Drosophila melanogaster: one gene and its partners. The protein of the gene in region 1 binds, or shares a complex with, the protein of each later gene. Each region holds a gene or a part of one and is shown in the gene's direction. Other genes may lie near its edges.

The links. The genes of interacting proteins can lie anywhere in the genome.
Region 2: Lamtor2 (region 1) and Lamtor4 share a complex: the UniProt entries of both Drosophila melanogaster proteins name them as parts of the ragulator complex.
Region 3: Lamtor2 (region 1) and Lamtor3 share a complex: the UniProt entries of both Drosophila melanogaster proteins name them as parts of the ragulator complex.

What each region holds. Positions count from the first base shown.
Region 1 is NT_033778.4:18,444,844-18,451,636, forward strand, and holds Lamtor2 (late endosomal/lysosomal adaptor, MAPK and MTOR activator 2), read left to right. Parts: upstream 1-1,704; 5' UTR 1,705-1,794; coding exon 1,795-1,862; intron 1,863-1,920; coding exon 1,921-2,107; intron 2,108-2,174; coding exon 2,175-2,297; 3' UTR 2,298-2,623; coding exon of another isoform or gene 2,624-2,768; 3' UTR 2,769-2,870; coding exon of another isoform or gene 2,871-2,910; intron 2,911-2,964; coding exon of another isoform or gene 2,965-3,041; intron 3,042-3,097; coding exon of another isoform or gene 3,098-3,207; intron 3,208-3,257; coding exon of another isoform or gene 3,258-4,028; intron 4,029-4,083; coding exon of another isoform or gene 4,084-4,525; 3' UTR 4,526-4,577; downstream 4,578-6,793. Other genes in the region: Prp19 (Pre-RNA processing factor 19), read right to left, coding at 2,624-2,768, 4,629-5,982, 6,047-6,065; CG30120 (uncharacterized protein), read left to right, coding at 2,871-2,910, 2,965-3,041, 3,098-3,207, 3,258-4,028, 4,084-4,525; rswl (roswell), read left to right, coding at 6,533-6,793. UniProt on the Drosophila melanogaster protein: Regulator of the TOR pathway, a signaling cascade that promotes cell growth in response to growth factors, energy levels, and amino acids. As part of the Ragulator complex, may activate the TOR signaling cascade in response to amino acids.
Region 2 is NT_037436.4:3,895,207-3,897,998, forward strand, and holds Lamtor4 (late endosomal/lysosomal adaptor, MAPK and MTOR activator 4), read left to right. Parts: upstream 1-1,693; 5' UTR 1,694-1,730; coding exon 1,731-1,885; intron 1,886-1,941; coding exon 1,942-2,149; downstream 2,150-2,792. Other genes in the region: Gr63a (gustatory receptor 63a), read right to left, coding at 1-902, 978-1,127, 1,188-1,397; Ccz1 (Caffeine, calcium, zinc sensitivity 1), read right to left, coding at 2,253-2,734. UniProt on the Drosophila melanogaster protein: Regulator of the TOR pathway, a signaling cascade that promotes cell growth in response to growth factors, energy levels, and amino acids. As part of the Ragulator complex, may activate the TOR signaling cascade in response to amino acids.
Region 3 is NT_033779.5:17,479,466-17,482,537, forward strand, and holds Lamtor3 (late endosomal/lysosomal adaptor, MAPK and MTOR activator 3), read left to right. Parts: upstream 1-1,765; 5' UTR 1,766-1,868; coding exon 1,869-1,912; intron 1,913-1,990; coding exon 1,991-2,321; 3' UTR 2,322-2,572; downstream 2,573-3,072. Other genes in the region: fws (four way stop), read right to left, coding at 1-777, 831-1,436; GCS2beta (glucosidase 2 beta subunit), read right to left, coding at 2,982-3,072. UniProt on the Drosophila melanogaster protein: Regulator of the TOR pathway, a signaling cascade that promotes cell growth in response to growth factors, energy levels, and amino acids. As part of the Ragulator complex, may activate the TOR signaling cascade in response to amino acids.

The sequences.
Region 1 (6,793 bases):
GAAACTCTTTCAGTTGCAGAACTTTATGTTATCATTCTTTTAAAGTTTTGTTTCACATTGAGCGCGCGCTGTGATCGAACATGAAGATAATATATATCGAATATATAGTTGTACACATGTGTATTTTTATACTTGTGTTTCCTATGCGGACATGTTTAGCATGTAAATAAGAGTGTAATTAAGTTTAGCTAGCACAACAACAGCCAGATACAAGCCATGCGTATGTATTCTAAACTTCAGCTTACAGATCAGCCAGCGCACCGCGAAAACGGAGCATCGGAAAAATTCGCTATAAATCTATAAATCTTTTACCTGGTCCTCAAATCTTACTTGCTATATCGAAACACGGCCCTGATATAATGTTTCACCCTCATTAAATCCAACACACATCCCACTTTGCACCCAAACAAAACAAAACAAAACAAACAAACCCATAATGAAAGGCTACACCAAACAATGTCATATAGAGGGGGGACATCCCCGATGTATTTTTGTCAAAGTGTACATAATACTTAGCGGTAGTAATATTTAATTAACAATAAGACTCCATCAATATTGCGATATCATGTACCATGCAGTACGTAGGCTACTGCTCGCCCCCGTGGCGAACGTTGGTTTGCTCGGTTTACATTACCCAAGACTAAATTTGGTTGAATCTAAGTTAATAAATAAATTTCTAATGCAACACAATCGACTTTTCATTCGTACCATTCGACTCCTGGCGCAGATCATCCACGGCGTACTTGCCAATGACCCAGTTTCTTGAATTTGCAGCCAAACAAACCCTGTCCCTGCTCCGAAATTTCTCGAGAAGATGGGGGGCAGGCAGGCAGCCAGGCGGTGGTGCTGAGTCATGCGCAATTTGCAATCCCAAAATGCACCCTGCTAACCAGGATTTTCGGCTAACTGCGTAGCACCAGCGTTCAAAAGTACAGGTATTCGGACGCTGAGGCGTTTCGAATTTGGTGGTGGTTGAAAGTAACTACTGCTTGTGGCTCTGGCCCCGTGGAGTGCTGATGCATCGCATGAAGGTAGTGGATGAACGGAGGAGAGAGGGAGAGTGCAGCTCTGCTGCGTAATAGATCCGTGACCTGGTTTGCCAATGACGTCACCAAATACGCCTTTAAATTCTCGTTATGCGGAAGTTATGTATGGAACGCAGATAGCTTGGCTGCCATTTTAGCAATTGAATGGGCGAGATAAGTGCCTCTGAAGAAAGTAACTGATAGAACGAAGCATAACTATTTGGGGATTATGGTCTGAGTCAGCATTTGTAAGTAGGGGATAGAAATATTAAAAACAAAAAATATAAAAACATTTTTTAGGTGCTTGGAATAAATTAAAAGCTTGAGTTTATTTGGTGTGTTCAAGTTAACTATGCAGTTATTGTTTGGAAAATTTGAAAAGTTATAAAATCCTCTATAAATTCAAATATTGCGTTTTCATTACGTTAATATCTAATTTGTAAATGGTATATTCTCTTAAAAAACGTATCTCTTTGTTTCTATATTATTATCAAGTTACGAAACCAAAGAAAAAAAATGAATGTTTCCTATTTCCCAACCGAAAACATATAATAATAAATATTGATTACAAAAACGAATCATCTTAATTTGAAAAATTCATTTGTTTATATACTTTAAATCGTCATATAGATGGCGCTACATTTGCCATTGTCACTCACAGCGCAACGCGCACACCTTATCAGCTGAATTTGTTGCCATTCAGAATGCAGTGTTTGTGAAGGCGTAGTTCTGTTGTTTTTTATATTTTCCCTCTTTAAAAATACACAAAATGTTGAAACCCAAAGCTTTGACGCAGGTTCTCAGCCAGGCGAACACCGGCGGAGTGGAGAACACCCTGTAGGATAGTCCCTTACCATGCCATTCCTTCAAATATCACTTATCCCTGCATCCACAGCCTGCTCAGCCAGGAGGGAGCTCTATTGGCCTACTCCGGTTATGGCGATAAGGATGCCAGGATAACGGCGGCCATAGCCAGCAACATATGGGCGGCCTACGAGAAGCATGGACGCAACGCCTTTCGCGAAGGTCGCCTCACTTTCGTGCTCATCGATTGTGAAAACGGTCATGTGGCCATCACACAGGTGGGTGATCCTCTTTTTTTTAGCAGGGATTCGTTCTATAAAATCTTAACTATATTCCTTTTTACAGGTTGCCAGTGTCCTTTTGTGCCTGTACGCCAAGCAAACGGTGGGATTGGGTCTTCTGAAGCAAAAGGCCATGTCACTGGCCTCCTATTTGGAGCGACCGCTTAAGCAGATCTCGGCCTCATAAGGATAAAACAATGATGTACCAAGTTCCGAAATGAATAAGTTAATAAGTGTATGCATCAAAAGTGAATCAAATGAATATGAATAGTCTGCGGAAAAGTTTAAACGATAATATATTAGTACTTGAAATTATGAATCTTTAAGGATTTTGTTAGTATTTAAGGAAAAACTTGTCTGCTGGTTTCCAAAAGTAACCCAAAGATATTTCGTATTCTGAATTATTTGGATAGAGGGTCAGGTTTATTATTCTGCAAGATTTGTTCAAGAAAACACACAATCATTAGGGAATATTGTATAAGAAAATTTTGGACTTAATTACTAAGTGTGGACTTATTCGATGGCGTAGAGCTTCAGGGTGCGGTCCATGCTGGTGGATGCCAGATACTGGGCGTGCTTGCCGAATCTCACGCCCGTTGCCAGGGCCGTGTGGTCGTTGAATACCTTCAGTTCCTGCCACTGCTTGCACAGGTAAACCCTGTAAATAAAACGAAGCAACCGTCAGAATTTGTATTTGTACCGTGGCAACCAAATAAACAAGTTAACTAAGGGAATCTTCTTTGGCGAATTTAACTTAACAATGCGAAAGTTTAAAAGAAAAGTTTACCGCGAATATGAAAGTAAGTATTATATTCTAATATGCGAAGACTTAAAAATGCATGCTGCTCTTCAAGATTTCGTGCGACCCAAGACCCATGTGGAACCGGAGCCTCCAAAGCCCATAAACTTATCGATTGAGGACTTCAATGCGGTGCGAAATAATTAATTTTTATATTTCCAAAGTTAAGTTTTATTAATATTCCTCAGCGCGGAGAGATCGCCAATCCCCGTGCTCCTTGTGTGGTCACCACCATCGATCCCGATTATATTAAGGACGCCAGTGCGCAACGTTTGGCCAGAAAATTTCGCATGAAAACGTAAGGAATCAAATGAATTATGTGCTGGTGCAATTTCACAGCTTTTTCAGGGACATCCTACTCTTGAGGGAGATTACCCGCAATCGCTTTATGTACTATGCTACGCAAGAACTTTTTTTGGACCGAAAACGCGAGAAGGAATACCAAGACAATGTATACGAAAAGGCCGAGGAGTTTCACAAGTTTGCAGAGGAGTCGCTCAAGAAAATGGAAGCGGAGGAGTTTAAGAAAATGTTAGAGGCCCAAGAAAAGCTGAAGACACTGAAGGAAAGCAAACTGAGCGAAGAGCTGAACGAGGTGAAGCTGGAGCATCAGCGAGTGCTGATGGAAGTGCAGGAGGTCTACGGTCGCTTTCAGTATTTACTCAAACTGATCAGCTACTTTGATGACACAGTTGAGGAGGAGCAAACCGAGGGAGACGATGCCAGCAATAGGCTTAGCATGCCGCAGGAAATCGTAGCCATGGAGATCACCGAACGACATCCAGCGGGTCTCGAGCAAGTGCGTCAAGTCCAAGACTACATGGAGAAGATAGTGCGTCCGTATTTGGCAAAGCGGAATCATCTCAATGCAGAGATTTGGATACGTGGCTATGAGAGAAATCGCTTAAAGGTGTCCAACTACAACAGGCGCTTTTCTCAGTTGGCAATCTTGAACCACATCGTAGCCATCCTCCATGACAAGGCCCAGAAGACGTACGAGCGTCAGGTGAAAGCCAATGTGTTCCTCAAGGATCCCGAGTTCCTGCAGCGACGGGTGGCAGGTCTTCAGGAGCGTGCCAAGGGTCTATTAAATGACTTCGAGCAGAGATACTGCAAGGAGTGAGTTGGGATGCGTACATATTTGAATCAACTATTTTATATTCTTAATTTCCAGCAAGCTGAATATCAAGCTAAATGCTATTGTACCAATTATTCTCAAGCAAATCCAAAACAAAGTTAAGCCGGAGCAAAAGCGAGAGGTTACGCAGCCGCCATCCAAGCCAGCAGCCCAGAAGTCGTCCAAGCAATGGCGAACACTGGAAGACATGCAGCCTCCACCACCGCCACCCAAGTCTACATACGCGGACGAACAGGACACGACTCTTGCCAAGGTGGAGAAAATCCAGGGCTACGTTTTGGAGCTCTTGGCTAAACTGGACCACATCGAACCGAGCAAGCTGCGAAGTGTCGAGCAGCAGGTTCGACGTCGCATGGCAGCGGAGAAGGAAATGTCTCGCCGTGCGTTAGTCAAGCAGAACCGGCTACACAACTGGATGGCGCATTTCAAGAAGCATCATGATCAGCAGGTTGAGCAACGATGGAAAAATAAAGTCTAAGCTAGACAACAACACCATACTTAAAACATTAAATGAATACAATTTAAAACTTATTTTAACCTCATTCTGAATGATTTCAATAAGAAAAGTACAATTCACTTACCTGACATCGCTGCCGGCGATAGCCAGATAGGTTCCGCTTTGGTCGAAGCACAGATCCTTGACCTCGTAGCCGTCATCAAGCTGGATTGTCTTAAAGTTCTTCAGCTTTCGCAGATCCCACAGCTTAACGCAGGCATCATCTGCAGCGGTGGCCAGGTAGTAACCGTTCTCCGAGAAGGAGATGGCCGAAATGGGACCGGTATGACCAGGGAAGTTGGCCACATTGCTCTGCTCCTTCAAATCCCAGATCTTAACCTGCGAGTCCACGGTGCCCGTACCGAAGATCAGACCATCAGGATGGAATTGCGCTGTCGTCAGCCCGACTTCGGCGGTATCGATTACCTTGGTGAGCAGGCGTCCTGTGCGGATATCGGAGAATGCCCAGTGTTTGTCGGATGATGTGGACAGCAAGTAGTCGCCAGTGGGGTGCAGCGAAAGGCCAGTAACAGGTCCTTCGTGGCAGCGCAGGAGAAGCTGCGTCTGCGAAGTGGGCACGTGCCAGATGCGTATGTTCATGTCGGGCGAGCCGGTTATGACTGTATCCTCGTTAGGATGATATATGACTTTGGTGATCTTCTTGGTGTGTCCCTTCAGGATGGCCACCATCTGCTCTGTGTCCTTGTTGAACACGGTGGCGTTTTTATCGTTGCCTCCGGTCAGAATCTTACTGTGATCAGCACTGTTGATGTCCAAGGCCAGAATGCCGGGAACGGAGGCCGAGTGTAGGCCGGGATGGGATGCCACAGTAAGGAAGTTCTTAACCTGATCCGTTGTAACCAGATCCTCGGGCACAGTGCGTCCGCGCTTCTTACGCTCCTGCGTCAGCACCGTGGCCTTGTCCTGCAGTTTCTGTATGACCTCGGCGCTCATGCCCGCCTGCTCCATGGGATGGGCAGCAGCTCCGCCAGCCTCAGAGGCCAGGGCCGGTTGTGGTATTGCCGTGGGTGCGTTGGCAATGCCCGCCTGCGGTTTCAACGTGGCCAGAGCTTCGCGAGCGGCGGCCACCTCCTTATTGAGGCGGGCAATCACACGACAGGCGGCATCGTGCTGATACAGCGCATGGGACAACTCCTGGCGCGTCGTTTGCAGCTGCTGGCGTTGTGTGAACGAGTGAATCATGAGGGCGTCCCACTCGTCCTGCATCGTTTTCAAAGTGGCCGGAATGCTGGTGGCACTTGGCGGTTTCGGTTTCACCACAGCCGGCGTCTTGATCTCGATCAGCTCCTCCGGCTTCAGCTCCTTGCCGCTAATGGGATCGCAGCCATTCTCTAACAGATACTTCTCAATCACCCGCTTTTCGAAAACGGCTCCCGAGTGCGGGGAAACCACGGGCGTCTCGGGGACTTCGTTTGTCACTTGGAATGGAAAGTGCGATTCATAATGGCCCAATTCAAATCAAAATCTAAATTATTCACTTACGTGCGCAAACCAAAGCCATTGCTGTTTGTGATTATGTCGCTTTTCGCGTAGTCTTGTTGGTAAATTAAATGTTTTACACGTTTTTCCCGAGCCAAGCGCAAAATTGTCGGCAAAGCCGCTTCTTCTTATTATGCCAGTTACTCGGCGACGCGGGAGTTTCGAGCACAGGGCTGCCAGATCAAATGGATTTTGGCTAGAAATTTGCACAGAAAAAACTAGCTAGAATTTAAACAATTTATTTTATTGATAACACAACACATTCAATAAGTATTTAATCCATAACAATAGTTTTTATAGATAAATGACATTTACTGATAGAGAAGTGAGTAACATATCTTAAATCAATCAGCTATCTCACCGTTTTGCCAATCACAGTTCCGCACGCACAATCCATAATTGCTGGCAACCCTAGCACGTTGTTTCTGTTATTCAATTCACGATCTAGTTTTATAACATAGTTTACTGCCATTAAGGTATATTTTTAAAATGCTGAAGCATTTTGCACGATGGCGTCTGGGCAGCCAGTTGCTAAAGGGATGTGCCGCACCAGTGAGGCAAGCCTCCAAAACCTCCAGCGCAGAGAACCTGATAGCCGGCACAGAGGAACCCCAAAAAAAGTTCGTCAATCCGTTTTCCCAGCCCGCTCCTGCGTTAAGTAATGATACGATATCAGAGAACAAGGAGGAACGGGATAAGCGACTCAAGGTGCTGCAGCTGGAGGCGGACATTGCCCACCAGGAGGGTCGG
Region 2 (2,792 bases), on another chromosome or scaffold:
GTGACCATTGTGGTTAAGAGTCCTTTAAAGAGAGTCCTGTTCACATCAAAAAAGCCACCGCAGTTGATGGTCGATGGATTCATTTCGGTGGCTCGCAAAAACATATTTATCTCCGTCTGGGCATCCGAGTTCATCCAGTTAAGCTCCACCATGAGTAGTTTCTTCTGGAAATTGGTTCGCACATTAACCGAGGCATAATGTGCCTCATCGCAAATATAGAAGAGCAGTCCTATGTTCCACAAAGCCGTGATAGTCAGTCCTATGTCCTTGATGCCAAATCCCTCGGAGAGTTGCGACATTAGTCCATAAATCGAAAGGGTAATGATGAAGAACAAGTAGAGGCTCATGAAAACAAAGGTGTAGCACAGGGCATTTCCAGTATCACGGGTCAACTTGCTCAGTCGTAGCCACAGAACACGGTAGTCTGCCACCATGGCAGCGGGTCCAATGTGTTTCAGTGCCTTCTGGAACCGCTCCGCCAGAAGATGAGCCGTAATGCTCATGGCCTCGCAGATGAGGAACCACCAGGCACCCAGCATTGCAGTCAAGTTGTCCAGGATGCAGTAGGGCACCACCTGGTTAATGTTCAAATCCGACATGGTGACGTGCGTGATGACCACCGATAAAACCGAGAGAATTGGCAGCACGATGGCTATGTACACCGCCTTCTGTCGCAATTTCAGAGGCAAACTGTGCCCGGATATCTGGTAGTACAACACCTCAAAGTCATCCCAATCATTGAAGAGCTTTGCTATCTTCCTGGCCTCGTACCACAATATTGGTATAATCATAATGGGCAGGATGTTGACCAGAAAGAGGTATGCAATAACCGCCTCCTCGAAGGGTCCACTCAGGGAGCGCACAATGTGGATGCGGTTGTTGGCCACATAGCCTACATAGCACTGTAAAGCGGTTTTGGGTTACATAATGGTATCCATAGTCAATTTTGAAAAATGTTATGCAAACACCACACTCACCGCCAGGAGCACAAAGAAAACCACCGAGTAAATAAAGGAGGCGGAGTTCATTTCGAACTTGGCACGAGCAGGACCATGTCGCACGATGGGTAATACTCCAATAATCCTCAAGAACCAATTGATGGGATCTATGTTTCGGTAGAAAACACTCTGAAAGCAGCGAAATTCAGTTTTACAAAAATGGTTTTAACAGCGTAGCAATCCACAAACCGGCTTAAATTCCGGATTATTGGACGCCGTGCTGTCCGAGCTCTTTTTCCTATCCAACGGAGGAGCTTCGTAATCCGCATCCAATCGCTCCGCCAATCCAATGGAGTACTTGCGGACCCCGTACAAGTATGCCTGGGCATTAGCACTGTTCAGCGGTTTTGCATTGAGGAACACCGCGTCACCCTTCTTGCGTCGATAGTAGTTGGCCATTCCGGAGAGACTGTGTCCGGAATTTCCTTGTCCGTGGCCTTTTACCACTTTTTCGCCAGACGGACGCATTAGCCATGCACCTGCACACGCCCCCTTATCGACCACGCCCTCTGTTGACTTAGAGCCGGAGTTTTAGTTTCCTGTTGATGTGCGTTGTTTGTCTTTTGAATGAATTAACCTTAGCCCGGTGTCCCAATTTCGAATTTGTGTCAATGGCGCGCATGTGGCAATTTACAACACTGAAACCGGGCTGCCAGGCTACCGATTTGGTATCTAAATGGATCTAGTCCGGTCACACTGGTGGGTGTGGGTGCGAAAGATAAATAAATAAATATGTTGAAAATGGACAGGGAAAAGTTGATTGTGCCCAATCAAATTGGCTATCTGATACTAAAGGAAGATGGAGCAGTTCTGGAGTCCGGCGGAGATCTGAAGAACGATGAGCGCAGTGCAAATGTGATAATGGGATTACTAAATCTCACAGAGACGTGCGTTTTTAAACAAAGGATGAAGGAATTTTGTAATAATTACGCCTATATTGTAGCATCGACGAGTCCTTCATGCCGAGCAGCAGCTGCGAGAGGATCACCATCGATTACGAGCATCACTACTACAGCATCTGCATGTCCAACCGTAGAATATACATCATTAAGATCAGCAAATCGCAGAATGGCGTCACCACGACCACGAGCTCCTCCTCGTCGAACAGCGTGTATAACGATGCCAGCGATTCCGGGGCAGTGCTGGCTTGAAATCCGTCGTCGGATGTCCGACCCACTTGCAGATTCTGTTGGCAAGCAACCGGACAAAGACCCCACAATTGGCGCACTCCCATTATTTACCTAATCCTCCTCTTTATTTGTCAAAAAATACATCATCTGTGAGCTCTTGCTCGAAAATGCGCCTCGCTTCCTGGGTGACGTCCAGCAAGGTGGCCTTGCTATTGCACAGGATCACATAGTACTGCCTGTAGTTACAGCGCCGCTTCACAATCCAATAGTCATTGGTGGTCTTGACCTGAACTTCCTCGGCAGGAGCACTCTCCATTTCCGCCTTGCCACTGCCATTGGCCAAGTCCGCAATGATACTAAGCACATTGCGGGGCAGCCCTTGGGGCAGGTGCCTCTGAAAGTTCGTGTGGTGCTGCAGGCTTTGTTCGTTAATGAACAAGTACTTCGGCGCCGTTTCGCTGTTCCCGCTGGAGTTGTCCTGGCCTGCAGCACCCACCGCCTCCTTTGTCAACTCGCTGGATATGTCCCGGGCCAACGAAGTCAGTTGGGGAGCCATGTAGGCATGGAGATCGTCGTAGAGATCTTGTTTCGGCGCAACCTGGTCAGCTGACAAATGTGGAATGTTTCAAGTTGATTATTTTGGCTATTTAGTTCTAATCCTTAA
Region 3 (3,072 bases), on another chromosome or scaffold:
CAGATTGGGCAGATCCACGACCTGCTTGGAATCAGCTCCCAGCTTGATTTGAGCCTCTAGTTTTGTGCACAACTCTTTTCCACAGGCCGCAAATACATTTGCTATGGCATTCGTGAGACGGGAATCGATCAAAGCAGCACTGAGCTCCGTTGATGCCACACGAATAAAGTTGTCCACCGTTTCGTTGCCGGGCAAATCGACTCCCGCCAGACATGCCTTAAAGTTGGCAGCACACTTGCTAACGTAACCCACTTCCAGGGGAGCAAATAGTTCGTTGTCAAACTGAAACTCGCCATGCAGACGCTGCTCCAAGCCACGAGCGGAGGTCAGGAGCTTTGAGAGCCCCTCCTGAAGGGTCTGCGTAACATGCTGGGGGCATTCGTCAAAGGATTTTCGCAGGAGCTGCTGCACCTGCTGCCAAAAACGCTGCGGAATGCACTGATCCGATGATTCTGATGTATAGCCAAACTGGTTGATCTGCTCGAGAGCCGTTTTCAGCAGCTTGATTTGCGTGCAAGTCTCAAAAAGTTCATCATAGAGCAGCCAATGAAGAGACTTCCAGAACTTGGCACGGAAGTTTTGAGTGGTTGTCAACTGGGGAGTTTTTCCTGGTCCCCTCGAGGGAGCAGGTTTGCTCACATTGTGCGTCGGGGACTTGTTCAGCACAGATATATCGTTGCCAGCAAAGCACTCTTTCAGAGATTGCTCCATGTCGGCAATAAAGGTGGCCAATAGGTTATCCAGCGATTTTTCCAGCGTATTGAAATTCATAAAGATCTAAGGAATAAGAACTCTTAGGTATATGCTAGAAAAATGTTTGTTATATCCACCTTCAAGGCATTAACCACTTGGTTTTCATTGCGCTCCTGGAGCCCAGTGACCAACTGCATCTGCGTGAGGTTCCTTATCTTCTGAGCAGAGCTGATCACATAAGCTCGCTCCTGCTGGATAAAATCAATGTCCTTTAGCTCCTTATCTTCGATGAGTTGGCCCAACTCAAAGTGGATTTCGGCCAGGCGTAGGACATCCTTGGTCGCTTTTAGTTTGGCCGTGAGGCTCAGCAATGTTCCAGCCGAGCGGAGTAGGTGACTGACATCGTGCAGACGCCCTAGCACTTGCGTTTGGTTCTCCACCTGCTGGTACTGCGTGTCCACCTGGTTCTTCAGCCGGTGCCCAGTTTCCCTGACCCGCTGCACATCCTCGGCGAGCGCGTTTAAAGCCGCATCGAAGCGCCCAGCGTGGGTGGCCTGCTGCAGTAGAGCTCCGTGCTTGTCGCGCACCTGCTGGTGCAGCTCCTCCTTCGTGTTCTGCAGTTGCTTGGACAGCTCCTGGATTTGCTGGCCAATGGTCAGGTGCGACATGGATGCGGTAAAGTCATTATCATCCGAATCCGCTGCGTTTGGGGTCTTTGTCGCTACCGGGTCTCCAGTCACCATGATGCAGAAGGTTTTAATCTATGGTAATACGAATTATAAGCTGGTATTACACTTTTATTTCCATTACTTGCAGCAATTTTACGTATTGCAAACAAACTGTTTTTCCACGCAACCAAAAACAGGCTGTAATCGATAAATTTCCAGTTGAGCGGGGATTGAATTTTTTGAAGGGGTTTCTAAAAAACTATATAAAGTATTGCGTGATAGCTTAATAATATAATATTTAAATAATAATGTTAAAAACTAGCCGCATCCTTTTTCCGCTTGCTGAAAATATTTTACTTCGACCGCCGACTACGCCCCTGCCACATGAACTTATCGATAACTTGAGGCAGCTGTTGCTCACTTTGTTTTGTGTAAATAATTGGATGCGGAGAAAAACGTATTATTATTGCCATACCTTCTCTAGTCTTTCGCTTTAACAAATTTTCCATGTCGGACGACATCAAGAAGTATTTAGACGGCCTGCTGCAAAAGTAAATATTCCACAGGAAAGGCTGTTCCCAATATGATTAACTTATAATTTTTCCCCCATTCCCCGATTTACACAAAAGGGTCAGCGGGCTGTACGTTATTCAGATTACGGATCGCGACGGAGTGCCCCTCCTGCGGGTTAGCCAGGAGAAGAACGTGGACTTCGCCCTGATGCCCTCGTTCATACCCACATTCACCACCGCCTGCGATCAGGCCAGCAAACTGGGATTGGGCAGAAACAAGACCATCATCTCCATGTACTCCAATTACCAGGTGGTCCAGATGAACAAGCTGCCGCTCATCCTGACCTTTGTGGGCGCGGAGAACTGTAACACGGGACACATTCTCGCACTGGAGCACCAGGTCGATGGCTATTTGGAGGACATTAAACAGGCTGTCACCGAGGCCTAAAGTTAGTCTACCTTGTAATATGCATATTTTTAATATTTACTAAATGTTTATACATACATACTTTATTGAGAACAGAATGAGTTTTTAAAAATCTCAACTCACCATTGTACTATTCCGGGAATTTATTTCATATCCTGCGAAGGGTGATCTCAAAGATGAACAAAGTTCCGAGTCCTCCGTTTTGGCAACAATATCAAATATGCAAACTATTGACACTTTATTTAAAATGAAAAATTCTTGCTGCCTAAAATGTGTACATTCAATTAAATTTCTTCATATAGTTTCTCAATTATAATATACTTTTCCCTATACCTTGAAATCGTCTGTGCTCAAGTATCACGAAAGTAAAATATTTGTATGTTTGAGCTCAAGGAAACCGACTTTAAATCAACATTTTCATTCAGTGATGTTATCTGTTTTAAAAATACTAGGTGTTTACACTTTATTCAGAATGAAACTTGATGTACTTTTTGCTTAAATGCATATACTGAGTTAATTAGCTACAATTCTTGATGGTTTTCCTGCTGCAGTTTGGGAATGATCTCGACAAAATTGATATTCTCCTTTAAAACTAAAATACAATCCCCAAATCTCTGGTCTACGCATGCCAAGCATTCACATTTCTCTGCGGCTCATCCTCATCGTCGATTGTTGAACATTTCAGAGTTCGTCGTGCAGATTCTCCGATTCGGACTGGAAAGCTTCGCTGTCGCAGGCGGCGGGAGTTTCGAATTCAAAGTAGTATTCACAG